Neodiprion lecontei: one gene and its partners. The protein of the gene in region 1 binds, or shares a complex with, the protein of each later gene. Links are inferred from orthologs where the notes say so. Each region holds a gene or a part of one and is shown in the gene's direction. Other genes may lie near its edges.

Region 1 (5,053 bases):
GCCAAAAAACGAGATCCCGTATTTTTGACACTTTTCAGCGCGTGCTTTTTCCTGCGTAGTTTCTCTCCTGTTGGTCCCACGCTCTTTTCGCTGCGTTTTCTGAGTTCCTGTGGGTTCAATTGGTCGGGAAAGGGTCATACAAATCAATTCCAAGACGAAAAATTTTTCGGTCAAAAAAAAAGGAAGGCTAACCCCTTTGTATTTTTGGCGAAAATTATCGCGATTTTGAAAAGTGCAGGAATAAATTCTTTCTGACACTAATCCGACGTAATTTTGCGAGAGAAATCGATTGAGCGCAGTCCCAGGACGCTGCGATCAACGCATCAGAAGTTACAGCCAAAAAACGAGAACCTGTATTTTTGACACTTTTCAGCAGGTGCTTTTTCCTCCGTAGTTTTTCTCCTGTTGGTTCCACGCTCTTTTCGCTGCGTTTTCTGGGTTCTTGGGGGTCCAATTGGTCGGGAAAGGGTCATACAAATCAGTTCCAAGACAAAAAATTTTTCGGTCAAAAAAAAAAGGAAGGTTAACCCCTTTGTATTTTTGGCGAAAAGTTTCGCGATTTTGAAAAGTGCTGGAATAAATTCTTTCAGACACTAATCCGACGTAATTTTGCGAGAGAAATCGATTGAGCGCAGTCCCAGGACGCTGCGATTAACGCATCAGAAGTTACGGCCAAAAAAGAAAGAACCCGTATTTTTGACACTTTTCAGCAGGTGCTTTTTCCTCCGTAGTTTCTCTCCTGTTGGTCCCACGCTCTTTTCGCTGCGTTTTCTGAGTTTCTGGTGGTCCAATTGGTCGGGAAAGGGTCATACAAATCAATTCCAAGACGAAAAATTTTTCGGTAAAAAAAAAAGGAAGGTTAACCCCTTTGTATTTTTGGCGAAAATTATCGCGATTTTGAAAAGTGCTGGAATAAATTCTTTCTGACACTAATCCGACGTAATTTTGCGAGAGAAATCGATTGAGCGCAGTCCCAGGACGCTGCGATCAACGCATCAGAAGTTACAGCCAAAAAACGAGAACCTGTATTTTTGACACTTTTCAGCAGGTGCTTTTTCCTCCGTAGTTTTTCTCCTGTTGGTTCCACGCTCTTTTCGCTGCGTTTTCTGGGTTCTTGGGGGTCCAATTGGTCGGGAAAGGGTCATACAAATCAGTTCCAAGACGGAAAATTTTTCGGTCAAAAAAAAAGGAAGGTTAACCCCTTTGTATTTTTGGCGAAAAGTTTCGCGATTTTGAAAAGTGCTGGAATAAATTCTTTCTGACACTAATCCGACGTAATTTTGCGAGAGAAATCGATTGAGCGCAGTCCCAGGACGCTGCGATCAACGCATCAGAAGTTACAGCCAAAAAACGAGAACCTGTATTTTTGACACTTTTCAGCAGGTGCTTTTTCCTCCGTATTTTCTCTCCTGTTGGTCCCACGCTCTTTTCGCTGCGTTTTCTGAGTTCCTGGTGGTCCAATTGGTCGGGAAAGGGTCATACAAATCAATTCCAAGACGAAAAATTTTTCGGTCAAAAAACGAGGAAAAAAGTAAGGCTAACCCTTTTGTATATTTGATGATAATATTGCCGATTCCAACAAATGGTGAAATCAATTTTTTTGAGCACGACGTCTGTGTCATTTTGCGCGAAGAACAGATTGAGCGCAGTCCGAACAGGTTATGTTAAGCTAGTTAGGTCTGGTACGCAAGGCTCATACTCAACTCTGTCAGGCACGTTTCTACCCATAGTTTCACCGGCCACCCGTGAGATTACATTGATAGATCAGGTTAGAATAGTAAACATAGCCTCTAAATTACTCTCAAAGGCGACACAGACGAGGCTCCCACGCTTATACCATTACCTCTTGCAGTCAGAATGGAAGTAAATATTAAGGATGTTGTGGTTCCTGGCGATGTCGCGGTAGAAATAATGAAATCAAGTGAAAAAGAGCGAGTGATTCTTGGTCCTGGACTGCGTCGCGACTGCGACCGCGTCCTTGTCACCAAAGCTGGTGTACTGAAGAGGCGAAAACCAGCTATATTTTACGTGGATAGCTATCAGAAAAGGTTAATAATATGAAATGTTCTATGTATTGGTCTGTCCAACTCAGCAATAACGTAAGCTGATGCATGTTTATCATATCATTTGATCAATAAATAATATTCTTGCCTGATTCAAGGACTTTTCTTCGTTGCTGTTCCTTTTCGCTTCGATATCGATTAACTGATATTTTTAGAATAATTGTATTTCGAGCCTGTTTACCTTTTACTTATCAACATTATGCTTCTTTGCGGAAACATCTCTTTCGATATGTTCTAAATAACAATTTATTTATTTCATTACAGGTACGTCCCGAACAGAGGGGAGAATGTTGTTGGAATAGTGACGCAGAAGGCTGGGGATATTTACAGAGTTGACATCGGGGCAGGGGAACTGGCATCTCTATCCTACTTGGCTTTTGAAGGAGCAACAAAAAAGAATCGACCTGACATTGTCGTAGGTGACGTGATTTTTGCCAAGCTACTGGTGGCTAGCAAAGGCATGGAACCGGAGTTGATATGCGTCGATTCTCATGGGAAGAAGGGCAAGTTAGGTGTCTTAAGTCCAGATGGGATGCTGTTTGATTGTTCCCTTAGTTTGGCGAGGAAATTGCTTCACCCAAGTTGTCAGCTGTTGACATTGCTTGCCAAAGAACAGGCCTACGAAATCGCCATAGGTATGAATGGAAAGATCTGGATGAAGGCCAGATCAGTCCACGAGACAATAGCGGCTTGCAATGCTATTTTAGCTGCGGAAAACACCCCACCAGCAGAAATGCCAGCCTTGTGTTCGAGTATCGCCCGTAATTTACTCCGAATAAGCTAAGAAAAAGACTAATTCCACAACCCTTGGTGTACATCCAGATATTTTAAGTATTTTATGAAACATGCTTTTTTTTGCAATAAAATCTTCCTTCGATATGAGTGATAATCTACTTAGATTTATTGAAAGCAATAGAGCACACAACAGTCGGCAAAAGATAGTGAGAAAGAATACTCTGTAAGTTAGAATGTAGTTTTTGGAGACAATTTTTTATTAAAGAATATAATACTTTAATACCATCATCGTTTGAGAAGATGAAGACAAAGGACGTAAACAAGGAAAGTAGATGGGCAGGGTACAATATTGAGTGGTTACTATTTTAAAATTAATTATTATTCATCACGTCTATTTGGTTGCAAGTCGTATGTGTGTGCTCTAATTTCTACACGTATTCCAAGTGTTCCTACTCATATTATAACAGTACTATCCTACTTAGTATCCTAGTATACTTCGTTTCACACCCCATTCATTGTTAAGCTACAGAAATTATGATCTCCATACACAAGTGTAATCAATATTTTTCAATTTCACAAATTTTATTGGTAATTTGCTATTAATTTACTGTATATAGTAATATTACGTTAATAATGCACGTCAAGAAGTTTGTCCAGCATTGAAAAAAAGTTGACGTTACAAATTCCAACAAACTTTCCACCGAAATTGAGAAATTAAATCTTGGTAAGAACGCGAAGAATTTAACGTCAAAAATCATTTGAGTAACAGCAGCCAGTCCAACGTTACGCTTGACCATAGATCAAAACGTTATTGGTAAAGAATATTATTATATTACCGCAATTTTCTAATTCAAATTAGTATAATCATAACGATTTCTCATTGCTGGGCAATTAATTGTAATCAAAGTATATGTATACTGGGTTCTTAAAATTTTGTTCAATTTTTTAGTGTGATGAAATAGATAATTTGAGTACAGTAGTCACAATAGGGTATAAGGTAGATTAATGGTTAATATTCAATGTGTAGTAGAATAGTATAGCATAGCAATAGTATATTATACGTGTATGTATATAAATAAAGTAATAGCGTTACGTAAATAGTAGAGCCAGGTCAACTTCAGAACTTCTCGAGCTTAGGTTTTGGATGAAGACTTGCGTTTGGACAATAATCGATGTTCCAGAAGAAACTGTCAAGCTAATTACAGGGTGAAGGATTTTAGAAGTGTATATATGGTATAGTCATTAACGTCCGTTAATGATGATCGATCAACGATCAAGCTCTAGATAATATTTACTTATTCAACGAGGCTACTGTATCTTGCATGCAATTTATTCTATCAATTGATAACATGTTTTGCATCCGCGACAAAAATATGAAGATAGAAAATCACGTCGAACAAGCGATATGTTGTAAAGAATTTGATTCAATCTGGTATTAACTGAAGTCAAAACTGGCTCTAATAATTATCATTTCATAATTTTATCATCAAGCTCAAGAGGCCTCAACAAGAGACTCTGAAACCTTACTTCACGTTTCAAATAACTGTCAGGCGGAAACTCTTCCCGCAAAACGGACTGAAATGAATGAAATTTTTCTCAGGAGTGCATTAAGATAATCGTGGTCTGTATATCCAATAATATATTGTATCACGGCGTGATAAATTTATTCAAAGCTTGATCGCAAAAATATCGAAAGCAGTCAAAGGGCTTTACATTTCGTTACTTGACCGATAGACCTATTTATTGCGCCACTAATCTGGAACTTACAATTTAGCGAACCAATCGAGTCTGCTTGTCTCTTGAAACATTTTTTTCTTACAACAATATCATTGTACACGATAAATTTCTCTATTTTCTTATGGCATACGATACCTCTTCAGAAGCCTCTTAAAGCCGTTTGTAGCCCTTTAATTTGAATACTTTATTACTGTTAAACAATATTATTACAATTACTAATTTATTATACTTTATTATAAATTAATTAAGGATCTCTTAATCGTATATGCTTATGTGTTTTTATAATAGTATGTACGATAGCTTTTCAGCAGCTTACTTCTGTGCCATCCCCATATGGAACTGGACTTTTGTTAAGTTTCAGTAATTTCAGAAACTGGGTGACTAGCGGCATTCCCAAACCTTTACCGTCTGATCCACGCTACCGCTTACCACGTATGGATGGCTCTTGTGAAAATCTACAATACAAAAGATGATGTATATCATGCCTCCATTCTCATAGCGGCTGAAGGGCTAGCCCA
Region 2 (4,775 bases), on another chromosome or scaffold:
CACGCGGTAAGATTTTCGTAATCAAACATTCACGCTGTATCAGTAGATATTCTGATTTGTTGAATCATTTTTCACCTCAACTGAACCATACCTACATATTTAATTCTTAAGAACCGTAGTGACTTAGTGTCATACGTCTTGCTACATACCTATAATAAGTCTTGCTCCTGTTTCATCTCTCCGTTCTAGAAAACAATTTTGTACTGTTTTTCGCACCTTGAAGCGTTAAGCTCTTGTAAAGTGCTTGTATTATTTTCAAGATATACCTACATCGTAATGTAAATATGTTCGTCATTTCGTCACAATAATTACCTGCTATGCCAAACTGTTATTTTGCTATTTTTCATCATTTGCCGATTTTTAGAAGTGGTTGAGATGTAAAAATGCAAGAACTTCTTACATATTTCAGTATTAAAACTTTCTTTTAATAATACACATTTACCTTCGGACGATTTGGTTGCTAGTTTTATTAAAGCAATTATGATCATGCATTGTTATAGTCAAAGAATTATGTTACCCAGGAAATCGTATTCGAAAACTTGATTCGTCGAATCTCATTGAAAAAACATTAAGCATTTATCTATTTGAAGGCAATGATTATCATTCCGAAATAATGGTACTATACTGATAACAAATAATCACAATGATAACCATTTGGAAAAAAACGTGAAAATTGAAACAGCTTCGGAAAATTTGAATTATGGCTTTGTACATTGTTATGAATGTTGTATTAAGCTTTAGTATTACATATTGATATTCGTCTTTTTATTTGTACATATTTATTTGCGCTATTTCGGACTAAGACACTTGACTTCATAACATATATACATATAAACCTGCAGGTGTAACGTTTATTGTGTACGAACGTGTAACTTTTATTAGTGTACCGTTTTGTATATTATGTTAATAATTAATATATGTATAATAGTTATGTTTCAGTTTAATGCATCTGTAATATTTTTCACACGAATTCACTCCTTAGCCATTACATCCCATCTACCTATTAATATCTTCGTATACTGCTTAGTTATCATCATCGCCATGCAGATTAAAAATACGTTTCCTCAAAATATGTATCAACATTTAAAGAAATATGCAGATTCTTAAAGCTATGTAACCAACCAAATGAAATAATTAATTTCACTCTTCCGATCACTCATATCCAGTAAACACTGTTATACAACTGGTGATCTCTACAGCGATTAAAACTACTTGCGAAGTAACGTACTTGAAACTGAATTTTTGCGTTATCTTGGTGTCGTTTTGCTGGCGTTTGCGTCGGCGGCAATGTTAATATTGTAACTCTCGTTGGAATTACGTAATAAAATGTGGGTACTTGAGCTTGTGTGGCAAATAAGTGGCGAAAATTAAAATGTTGAGAAAATTATGTTTTGTTGCAAGATGCGGTGTTATTCGTTTAAAATCTGAATCAAGACTGTTTTTGCAAGAATGCTGGTTGACGCAGCAACCTTATTCATGTCCAGACACAAGACGTTTACAAACTTCTTTTATCTGCGATGACTACTAGTTCATTAGAAAAGGGGGTAAGACGGGTGATTTCACCCTTTGTAACATGTCTGAGAAATAGCATCGAATATCGATTAATCGAAGCTGAAAAACATCTGGCGAAAATAAACGATTATTGAGAAAAAAGAATCGATCAACGATCTCGATTGATTGACAAACATCGTCCCTCCCTCCCCGCTGCTCACCAGTAATTATCCGTTGACAACGTGTTTTGGCGTACTCGCGTATTTTTAGGTTATAAAGCTGCTTCTTTTGAAAGATACTGAAGCAGGTTTTTTAATAGAGAATTAATCAGCGACCGCATATGTCTCATCTCGAGTACTGTCCCAATTAGAATGGCGAACACATTGTTGAGCTTAGCTGAAAAAACATTTATAGTGCACGGAGTGGATGTGAGTTGACTCTTTCTATTAGTACTTTCGAATTTAATTGTTGCTTCGATCGTCATTCTCTATTCGAACGATGCCACCCCTTTCGATTTGTACGTGATGGAACATTACTTTGATTCAAAGAATCACGGCACTTTTGATCACACTTTTGAATTTTGGTGAGAAAACCTTAAATCTTGCATATTATTCCTAGGATAACTACCGAACCGATGGCAGAAATAGATCTGAATATCGCCCAATGGAAGTGGAAACAAAAGTCTTACCTCATACTAGTGGTTCGGCTCGTTTACGACTAGCAAATACTGATATTCTAGTCGGTGTTAAAGCTGAGGTTGACACACCCTATCCCGACAACCCTAATGAAGGAAAATTGGAATTCTTTGTTGACTGGTTCGTAATCAGACATAAACTGTTTTTTATCATCCAGATTCGCATTTCTTATGTCAACTGTATTCCAATTTTCAGTTCCGCCAATGCTACACCGGCATTTGAAGGGAAAGGAGGTGACAATTTAGGTACAGAAATAAGCAATACTCTAACGTTAGCTTACCAGTCATCTCATGTTCTTGATTTAACAACACTGTGCATTTTACCTCAGCAAAAGTGTTGGAAATTATATGTTGACGTTTTAGTGAGTATCCAAAGTTGTCTTATTCCTACATTGCTTGGCAAATAAATTAATCTTCATTAGTCCAAGCTTTTCAGTTGAATGAACAAATCTTTAAAATAATCTCACATTCCACAGATTCTTCAATGCGATGGCAATTTATTTGATGCTGTAGCATTAGCGGTTAAGGCTGCATTATACAGTGCACAAATTCCCAAAGTTACAACTGCAACACTTGACGGTGGTAAAGCTGACATTCAATTATCAGACGATCCTTTCGATTGTGTTAAGCTGGATGTTGGTAGTTTTCCTGTTCTGGTTACCCTTTGCAAAGTAAGTTGCAAGTAATCATATGCAATGTATGATATAAATAGATTTACCATGACCAAATTTTAGTTTCCTGTTGTATGATGTGCCCCAGGAATTTTGGGCAAGGAACTAAGCGCAGTGTTCAGACTTTCAAATAGATTCGTTGAGGGCATTGCTTATTAAAGAACTCCTAAAGTGATTTGTGAGTTCTACCAGTTTCACGAATTCCATAAAATAGCTTAAATATTCTTTCCAAGCTTCAATTTCATAGCAGTATATTTGTTTTATTTTTTTTTTTTTTTAAGTTCTTGTAATATGGGGTAATCTGGTAGCTAGTCAGAATTTTACTTTTATACAGATAGGAGAAAATTGTGTAGTTGATCCAACTTCAGAGGAGGAAGAGTGTAGTGCAGCAAGTATAGTTGTCGCCGTAATGCCCAATGGTCGTATAACATCTGTGGTGAAGACGGGATATGGCAGTCTTCAACCCTCGACATTGGTTAAAACATTAGAGGTATGAGATTTCAAATCAATGTCTATTCGTTTTTAGCGCGATCATTTATAAGTGTCTTGAATGATTTAATCTTTCAGCTCGCAAAAGACATTGGAATTAAGTTGAATGCAGGAATTATGAATGCATTGAAGGAGGAGGACGAGTTAGGTTCGCAGAGAGAAATTTTTGGGTTTCTTAAATAAAATTAACATCTAAGAATTGTTTAATATTTTTTATGTACATAAATTATATTTTGAATCAATAAACAAGAAAATAGAAAGTAAAAATAACGTCGCGTATTAATCAAACTTTCGATAAGCGTACAGTTCTAATCACGTCTCGTGAGTTTGATAATAGACACTCCTGAGAATATAAGGATACTGTTGATATAATATAAAGTTTGCAGGTTAGCAAGCTGAGCGGCGTTATTTATTGTTGGAAATCTTGATCCCTTGATACGCGAGTATTACATAGCTGTAACACTGGTATACTTAATTTTCTTTCAACTTCTCATACAGTCCATCTGATTTTTCGCGTCAGGCCATTTTCTCTAACAATGAAAGAAGAATCTCGAACCGTTCTTTAACCTGTGTAAAAAGTTTGATGTATCATCACTTCAATTGCACAGAAAGAAAAATTTCATTCAATTAATTTGCTGATGTACGTACCTGTTGAACAGTTCGATCTCCCAGAGTCTCACTGATTGTTAAAAAAGTATTTTCTGAATATTCCTTCTTGATACATTCTAGTAAAACTGCATCTTCTTGTCTTGTCCATGGCCTAATATCGACAGCGTTCCGGATTTCATGTTCAGGTTCATTGCCTGAATCGCTTGAAACTTCCATCTTCTCAAGCCTCACAGTTTCCTCAGTCTCATATTCGTTTGTACCTGTTTAAATTACATATTCTCATTGAAAAAAAACAGTTACGGGACATACGAGAAATGCAGATACTCACTCATTTTACTTTCTTCTTCAATATCGTGAACCTTGCCACAATCCGGTATTGAATTTTCGTCTTGGCTAGTATCGTCAGTCTGTGACTGCGTTGCATTATCCGTATTCTCCGAATCCAGTATTTTACTTGATTTGACTGTGTTCTTATAGGCGACTTTAGTTCGTTTTGATCTTGAAATATCCTGAGCTTCTCTTTTTTCTGCCCTTTCTTCCCTCTTAGTTTTAATTGGTGACATAGATTCTTTTTTCTCAATCGGATTATCGTTACTACTAAGTCTTGAGCTGATTTCGGTATTTTTAGGAGATTTCTTTCGCTCTCTAGACTTCATTGAAATTTTGTTCATTCGCTTTGACTTAAGTGATGACTTATCCATTTCTTCACTATCTTTAATTGGAGAATTTTTGTTTGCTTTTGCGTCCGTTTGGTCAGGAGAGTTTTTAGATGATTTTCGCTGTCTTTTCGGTGTTGCTGGCACAAATTTTTCGGTAGTCTT
Region 3 (5,053 bases), on another chromosome or scaffold:
CTCCGTAATTAGATTCTGCAGAAGTGTCAGTAACCACTGCGAATGCTAACTCTTTGTTAGGATCTCTTTCTAGTGATTTAATTGCCGTTTTGTAAAAGACATTGTATCCCGGTGAGTTTTTCAGTCCGATAAAATTAAAGTAACCTATCACCACGGCCTAGAACATAAGGTTTTGTGATAATTTCACATATATGTGGAGATAACTTAAGTGATAATAACAATAAACATGTAGAGGTCGCAACCCAGATTGAACAGAAAGAGAGAGAGAGAGAGAGAGAGGGACAGAGGGAGAAACGTAATCAAACCTACGTCATAGTCTACAATCAGGTTCAGGAGCTGATTTCTGTCTGTTATTCTGAATATTGGGTTCATAAATGCGTGGAGGAAGCGTATCATGTACGGTGCAGTACGAATACCTCTGTACTGAACACCAGGTCCTCGCCTAGGATAGAGCATAAAAACTGGGTAGCTCTGAATCTTGCTGTATTCAGCCCGGCATTCTGAACCCGGGTGCCAGCAATTAATGGCTGCAAAAAATATCTGAAAATTAACAAATTAAAGTTAGTGTGGTTTCCACAAGTTTTTGTAGTAATGTCAAAGGCAAGAAGCAATAATTGAATAACGATTTATGTATAGAACTTAGTAAATGAATTAATGAGAACCTGTTTGTGGTAAAAACGTGCCACAGTTTCAAACTCTTGTCTAACGGCTTGACTCTCGGCATCCCATGGTGCGTAGTACATAACAAAACTGAGATCTGCATCTGTGACTCTTTCAATAGCGGCGCCTAAATGACCTTTGTAAAAATCCAAAACAAGCGAGCTTTGGTTAAAGAATGGCCGAGCTGAAGGAGGTTGTGACACTTTTGGTGGCCTGTAAATACATTCAAAGTTGAGAATTCGCTATTAAACTAGTTGTTTATCAGATACGTTATACATGTATTTAATCAACTAAAAAAATCTATGAGAGATCATGTTTTACAATTAAATGCAGTCAAGGTTTCATTTGATGTTTTTGAAAGTAATATTTGAGAATTTTACCGGTTTTTATTGAACATTGATTTCTATAGTTTGACTCCGCTTGCAAGTAACGATATTTGACACTTCCTAAATTTGATTCGGATCATACATATTCAAAAATATCAGTAATAGAACGCCGTTGTAAAATAGTGTTGTTAAAGAATATCCAAAGGTAAAATGAATGTTGAAAAATAATTTCTTCTACAATGTAATTCATGATATTGGCATTTGATTTTTTTTACAATATGCTAGATGATTAAAAAACGTAGAATTATTGAGGTGAGTTGGCGGATAACCTTAACTATTTTTAAAAAACTTACGAAGTGTGAAGAGCAGCTAAGGTGGTGAATAATATTGCAGCAAAGAAACATAATTCTTTGCCATAGTGTAACATTTTCGAGGCTAATCGTTCTTCTAGTGCGGAGCTCGTTGCGAGTGATGTTTGGACCACGTTATCACTTCCTGAATCATTGGTCGGCCGCAAATTATCACCATTTCTTTGCGGACTTGTGTCGCGTTCTCCACTGGTCATTATCCTCGAAATTAAGGAAATAACGAAGGTCCGACGGGGGGATGATTGCCGTCAAATTTTCGTCACGTATCGCGTCATCACTCGGGCCTACTTATCTTTTCATGGGGATTATATTAACTGAATTACAAACGATTAATAAACTCGCGCCCCAAGGTCCACACATATGTCACCTGTGCTCCATCTTTTTCTCCCCGGTGAACAGCTGACCGCTTAAATCCACTCGTCTTAAACGACATTAGTGTACAAGTATCGAAATTTCATCTCCAATTAAATTGAACTTATAGAATGTCCTTATACATTTTCAGGGTTATTACAATACGTCTGCTTCCGAATCGCACGTGGCTTATTTTTTATAAATAACGTTTTGACTTGAATCGGCTGCTAAACTGTCATGGAATTTTTTGATACTCTGCAGTTGGCACCCTGCACATCTTTCCGCTATATCTAGGGATATCCTGACGTGGACCAATGAAAAGCCGCGACGCCGAGTTTCTGGATATCCCCATGTCGTACATCTCATGAGCTTTAACTCTGGCGTCGATGCAACGCGTGTCTTCCATTTGTCTGCTCCTAACCTAGTTCAAATTGGAGCGGCGAAGATAGAAAACGAATTGAAATGCAAAACCAATTGGAAACTACGGAGGAAGAGGAGTGCGTTTTGAGACCGATGAACTGTGAATTAAATCAGCTGAGCAGACCGGATGGTTCGGCAATGTTTATGCAAGGTAACTAATTCGTGTGAACGGTCGTTTGTTTTCATAGCGTGAGTTCCCATTTATTTTGTTTATTTTTTATGTTAGCTATCATCACATAAACATCCAGATTTTACATACCTAGTTTCCTAGATTCACATATTCCAATTTTTCAAATTTATTGCACGGCTCTTTTGTGGTATCTAATATGTACATACCATAATTCTGAACTGATGGTGTTTTCAAATGATCGATTCCAGGTGACACCGTCGTTGTTGCCGGAGTTTATGGACCAATTGAAGCGAAGCTACAAAAGATGATGCACGACAGAGCGACCGTTGAAACAATGTTTAGTCCTGCAAAAGGACCACCGTGTAAGTATTTCTTGACTGCCGACAATCCTGATATTTTGATTATAGCTCTTTAACAGATTATTTCGCTTGTTACGTGATTTAACATTTTGATAATTATTCTGTATTTTAAGGTGTCGACGACAGAGCGAAGGAAACTGTCATCAGGGAAACGTGCGAGGCTGTACTGCTGACTGCGTTGCACCCTGGCATGGCAATAAGCATAAATGTACAAGAACTGCAGGATTCTGGAGGAGTTGGTATTTTTATTGATTAAGTGTTGTACAATACAATTCTATCACTTCACTTTATCGGTTCATTACAAAACAATCGATTCCACTTTACTTCCACTTTTCGTTGTGTCTTTTATTAAAAGAGATAATACTCACGTGTTACGTACAATTTTGCAGTTACTCGCCTGTGCCATTAATGCTGCTTGCCTGGCGCTCATAATCTCCAGTATTTCTATGAAATTCACTGTCGCTGCTGTATCCTGCATGATTGACCGCGAGTCCGGCAAACTGATTGTAGATCCTGATAGCACGCAAATACAGGTTTCTAAAACTTATATTTATATATTTGAAATATTTCAAGTAAAATTCATATTCTTTCACACATTTATAAGTATTAAATGCTATTGGTATTTTCTTTTTTTGCCCAGTTTGAACTATTTGGAAATAATCTAACTTTCTACAACTAGAACCTTAGGTTGAATTTTCAAGTAAAGCCTTAATCGCTAATTTTGATCAAATTGTTTTTGTGCTCTGTCAACAAATTTTAAGGAGAGACGAGAAAGATCACAACTTTCTTCATGTATTGTCCTTTATATGTTTCTAAATGTTAATCAGAGCAGAAATGACAAACCAGCGAATTTTGTCTAATTTTACTTTCTGAGTCTCAGAACACCTAGTTGAGTCAATTTCGTAATTCAAAAGTGTGGTATTTGTTTTAAATATTACCTTCATGTATAAATATTTCCTTTAATCCGAACTTTATGGAGTTATAATTTTGAAGTATGAGCATTAGTTTTGAAGGACGCTGGGCCTAAAACAACAAAAAATGACGTATTATTATTGTTACTTTGTTTCAATTCCTTTCAATTACTTATCATACGTAATTCTAATATATTTGATAATAATTGAAAATTGCAGCAGGCACGGGTCACGTTCACGTATGTTTTCGAGGGTATAAAAAAGGACTTGGTGTCTTGCCACACAACTGGTCGATTCTCGGAGAACGAGCTGATGGAATCTCTAGAAAAGTGTCGAGCAGCAAGCCAGAACATCTTCGATTTTTATAGAAACATAGTTGAACAATACGCGATTAAATTATGAGCATATTTGCATGCGATAAATTTATCGACGTCGAATTCGCACCCGTAAATTGCTGAAAAATCCAATGATTCAATTCTATAACTAGCACTTTACGTATATTTCCGAGCAGTGGGAGATCGATTGTATGTATATAAAAATAATTAGGCGGTGGTATACTCGATCCGTTTCGAGCTGAGGAATTTAATAACACCGGTTAAAACGGCCTCCGCGGTGCAGGTGATTCGGTACAGCGAAATAGCGATCGTAACTTTGATTCCATTAAATACAATAAGGCTACCAGGAATACTGACTGAACTACGTTTAGCCGCGAGGTTTCCCCCCGGGGGCCCGAAGCTGCGGCGCAGTCTTGCTGACCATTAACAAGAAGCGAAGCAATTTATGGTACGGTTCGCTCATTCCCACTTTATTATTTCTCGTCGTAGCTGAGTAGATGTTTCTCTGCTGCAGTCGCCGGTTTCGTTTTGCTTACCGAACAGCCAGATACAGCGTCAGCTTACAGACATCCTGGCGAGATGCTTCGCATCGAAATTCTGCAAACCTTTCTCATCTTGAGGCTTCCTCATTAACGTGATTTGAATGTGTGTATATATATATATACATTTATTTTAAGCCTGAAGATAATTGATGACGTTCATGTGCGTCGATGTCATATATTTCATAATAAACTGTTTTTCACTTTAACAATGAGATTCCCTTTGTTCCACTACGTTAAATGGCATTTTGAATTTCAGGGTTTCGTAAAATATTTTAACGCAAAATTGCATCTTGGACTGACAAGACTCTGACTTGATATAGTTAAGAAATGAGCTTTCATCGGTTTTTTTTTTATCTTCCGCGAGAAATAATTATCATTATTCTTTTAACGTCTTCAAGATTCCAAGCATCTTCTTACCATTTTCTAAAAGCGCATTTTTAATAATTCTCTTCATGACGTTCTCCATGACGTCAGGCGGTCTCTGACAAATGGGAGACAAGGGATAGTTGCGAGCACTTTGAAGAAGCAGCGAAGCTTTTCTCGTCTCCCGGAAGGTTGCACTGGCACGACATATGTCGTCAGAAATGCTGTATCCAATTGTATGACAGTTTGTTTAGAAAATCCACAGTAATTATCAATAACGGTATCTTC

What was found. Proteins that work in one complex are often made in the same cells at the same time.
Region 2: exosome complex component RRP40 (region 1) and exosome complex component RRP42 share a complex: the UniProt entries of both Homo sapiens proteins name them as parts of the RNA exosome core complex. The link is inferred for Neodiprion lecontei from reciprocal best matches to the Homo sapiens genes EXOSC3 and EXOSC7.
Region 3: exosome complex component RRP40 (region 1) and exosome complex component RRP46 share a complex: the UniProt entries of both Homo sapiens proteins name them as parts of the RNA exosome core complex. The link is inferred for Neodiprion lecontei from reciprocal best matches to the Homo sapiens genes EXOSC3 and EXOSC5.

The regions. Positions count from the first base shown.
Region 1 is NC_060264.1:3,212,233-3,217,285, forward strand, and holds exosome complex component RRP40, read left to right. Parts: upstream 1-1,494; 5' UTR 1,495-1,531; intron 1,532-1,587; exon of another isoform or gene 1,588-1,852; 5' UTR 1,853-1,857; coding exon 1,858-2,048; intron 2,049-2,327; coding exon 2,328-2,847; 3' UTR 2,848-4,470; downstream 4,471-5,053. Other genes in the region: lissencephaly-1 homolog, read right to left, coding at 4,917-4,990. UniProt on the Homo sapiens protein: Non-catalytic component of the RNA exosome complex which has 3'->5' exoribonuclease activity and participates in a multitude of cellular RNA processing and degradation events.
Region 2 is NC_060263.1:34,933,623-34,938,397, forward strand, and holds exosome complex component RRP42, read left to right. Parts: upstream 1-1,720; 5' UTR 1,721-1,862; coding exon 1,863-1,919; exon of another isoform or gene 1,920-2,008; intron 2,009-2,109; coding exon 2,110-2,306; intron 2,307-2,381; coding exon 2,382-2,547; intron 2,548-2,661; coding exon 2,662-2,856; intron 2,857-3,172; coding exon 3,173-3,346; intron 3,347-3,423; coding exon 3,424-3,528; 3' UTR 3,529-3,598; downstream 3,599-4,775. Other genes in the region: GON-4-like protein, read right to left, coding at 3,862-3,912, 3,994-4,214, 4,283-4,775. UniProt on the Homo sapiens protein: Non-catalytic component of the RNA exosome complex which has 3'->5' exoribonuclease activity and participates in a multitude of cellular RNA processing and degradation events.
Region 3 is NC_060261.1:41,971,295-41,976,347, forward strand, and holds exosome complex component RRP46, read left to right. Parts: upstream 1-1,985; 5' UTR 1,986-2,167; coding exon 2,168-2,276; intron 2,277-2,503; coding exon 2,504-2,617; intron 2,618-2,727; coding exon 2,728-2,849; intron 2,850-3,003; coding exon 3,004-3,147; intron 3,148-3,744; coding exon 3,745-3,927; 3' UTR 3,928-4,608; downstream 4,609-5,053. Other genes in the region: thioredoxin domain-containing protein 11, read right to left, coding at 1-157, 310-540, 663-873, 1,340-1,551. UniProt on the Homo sapiens protein: Non-catalytic component of the RNA exosome complex which has 3'->5' exoribonuclease activity and participates in a multitude of cellular RNA processing and degradation events.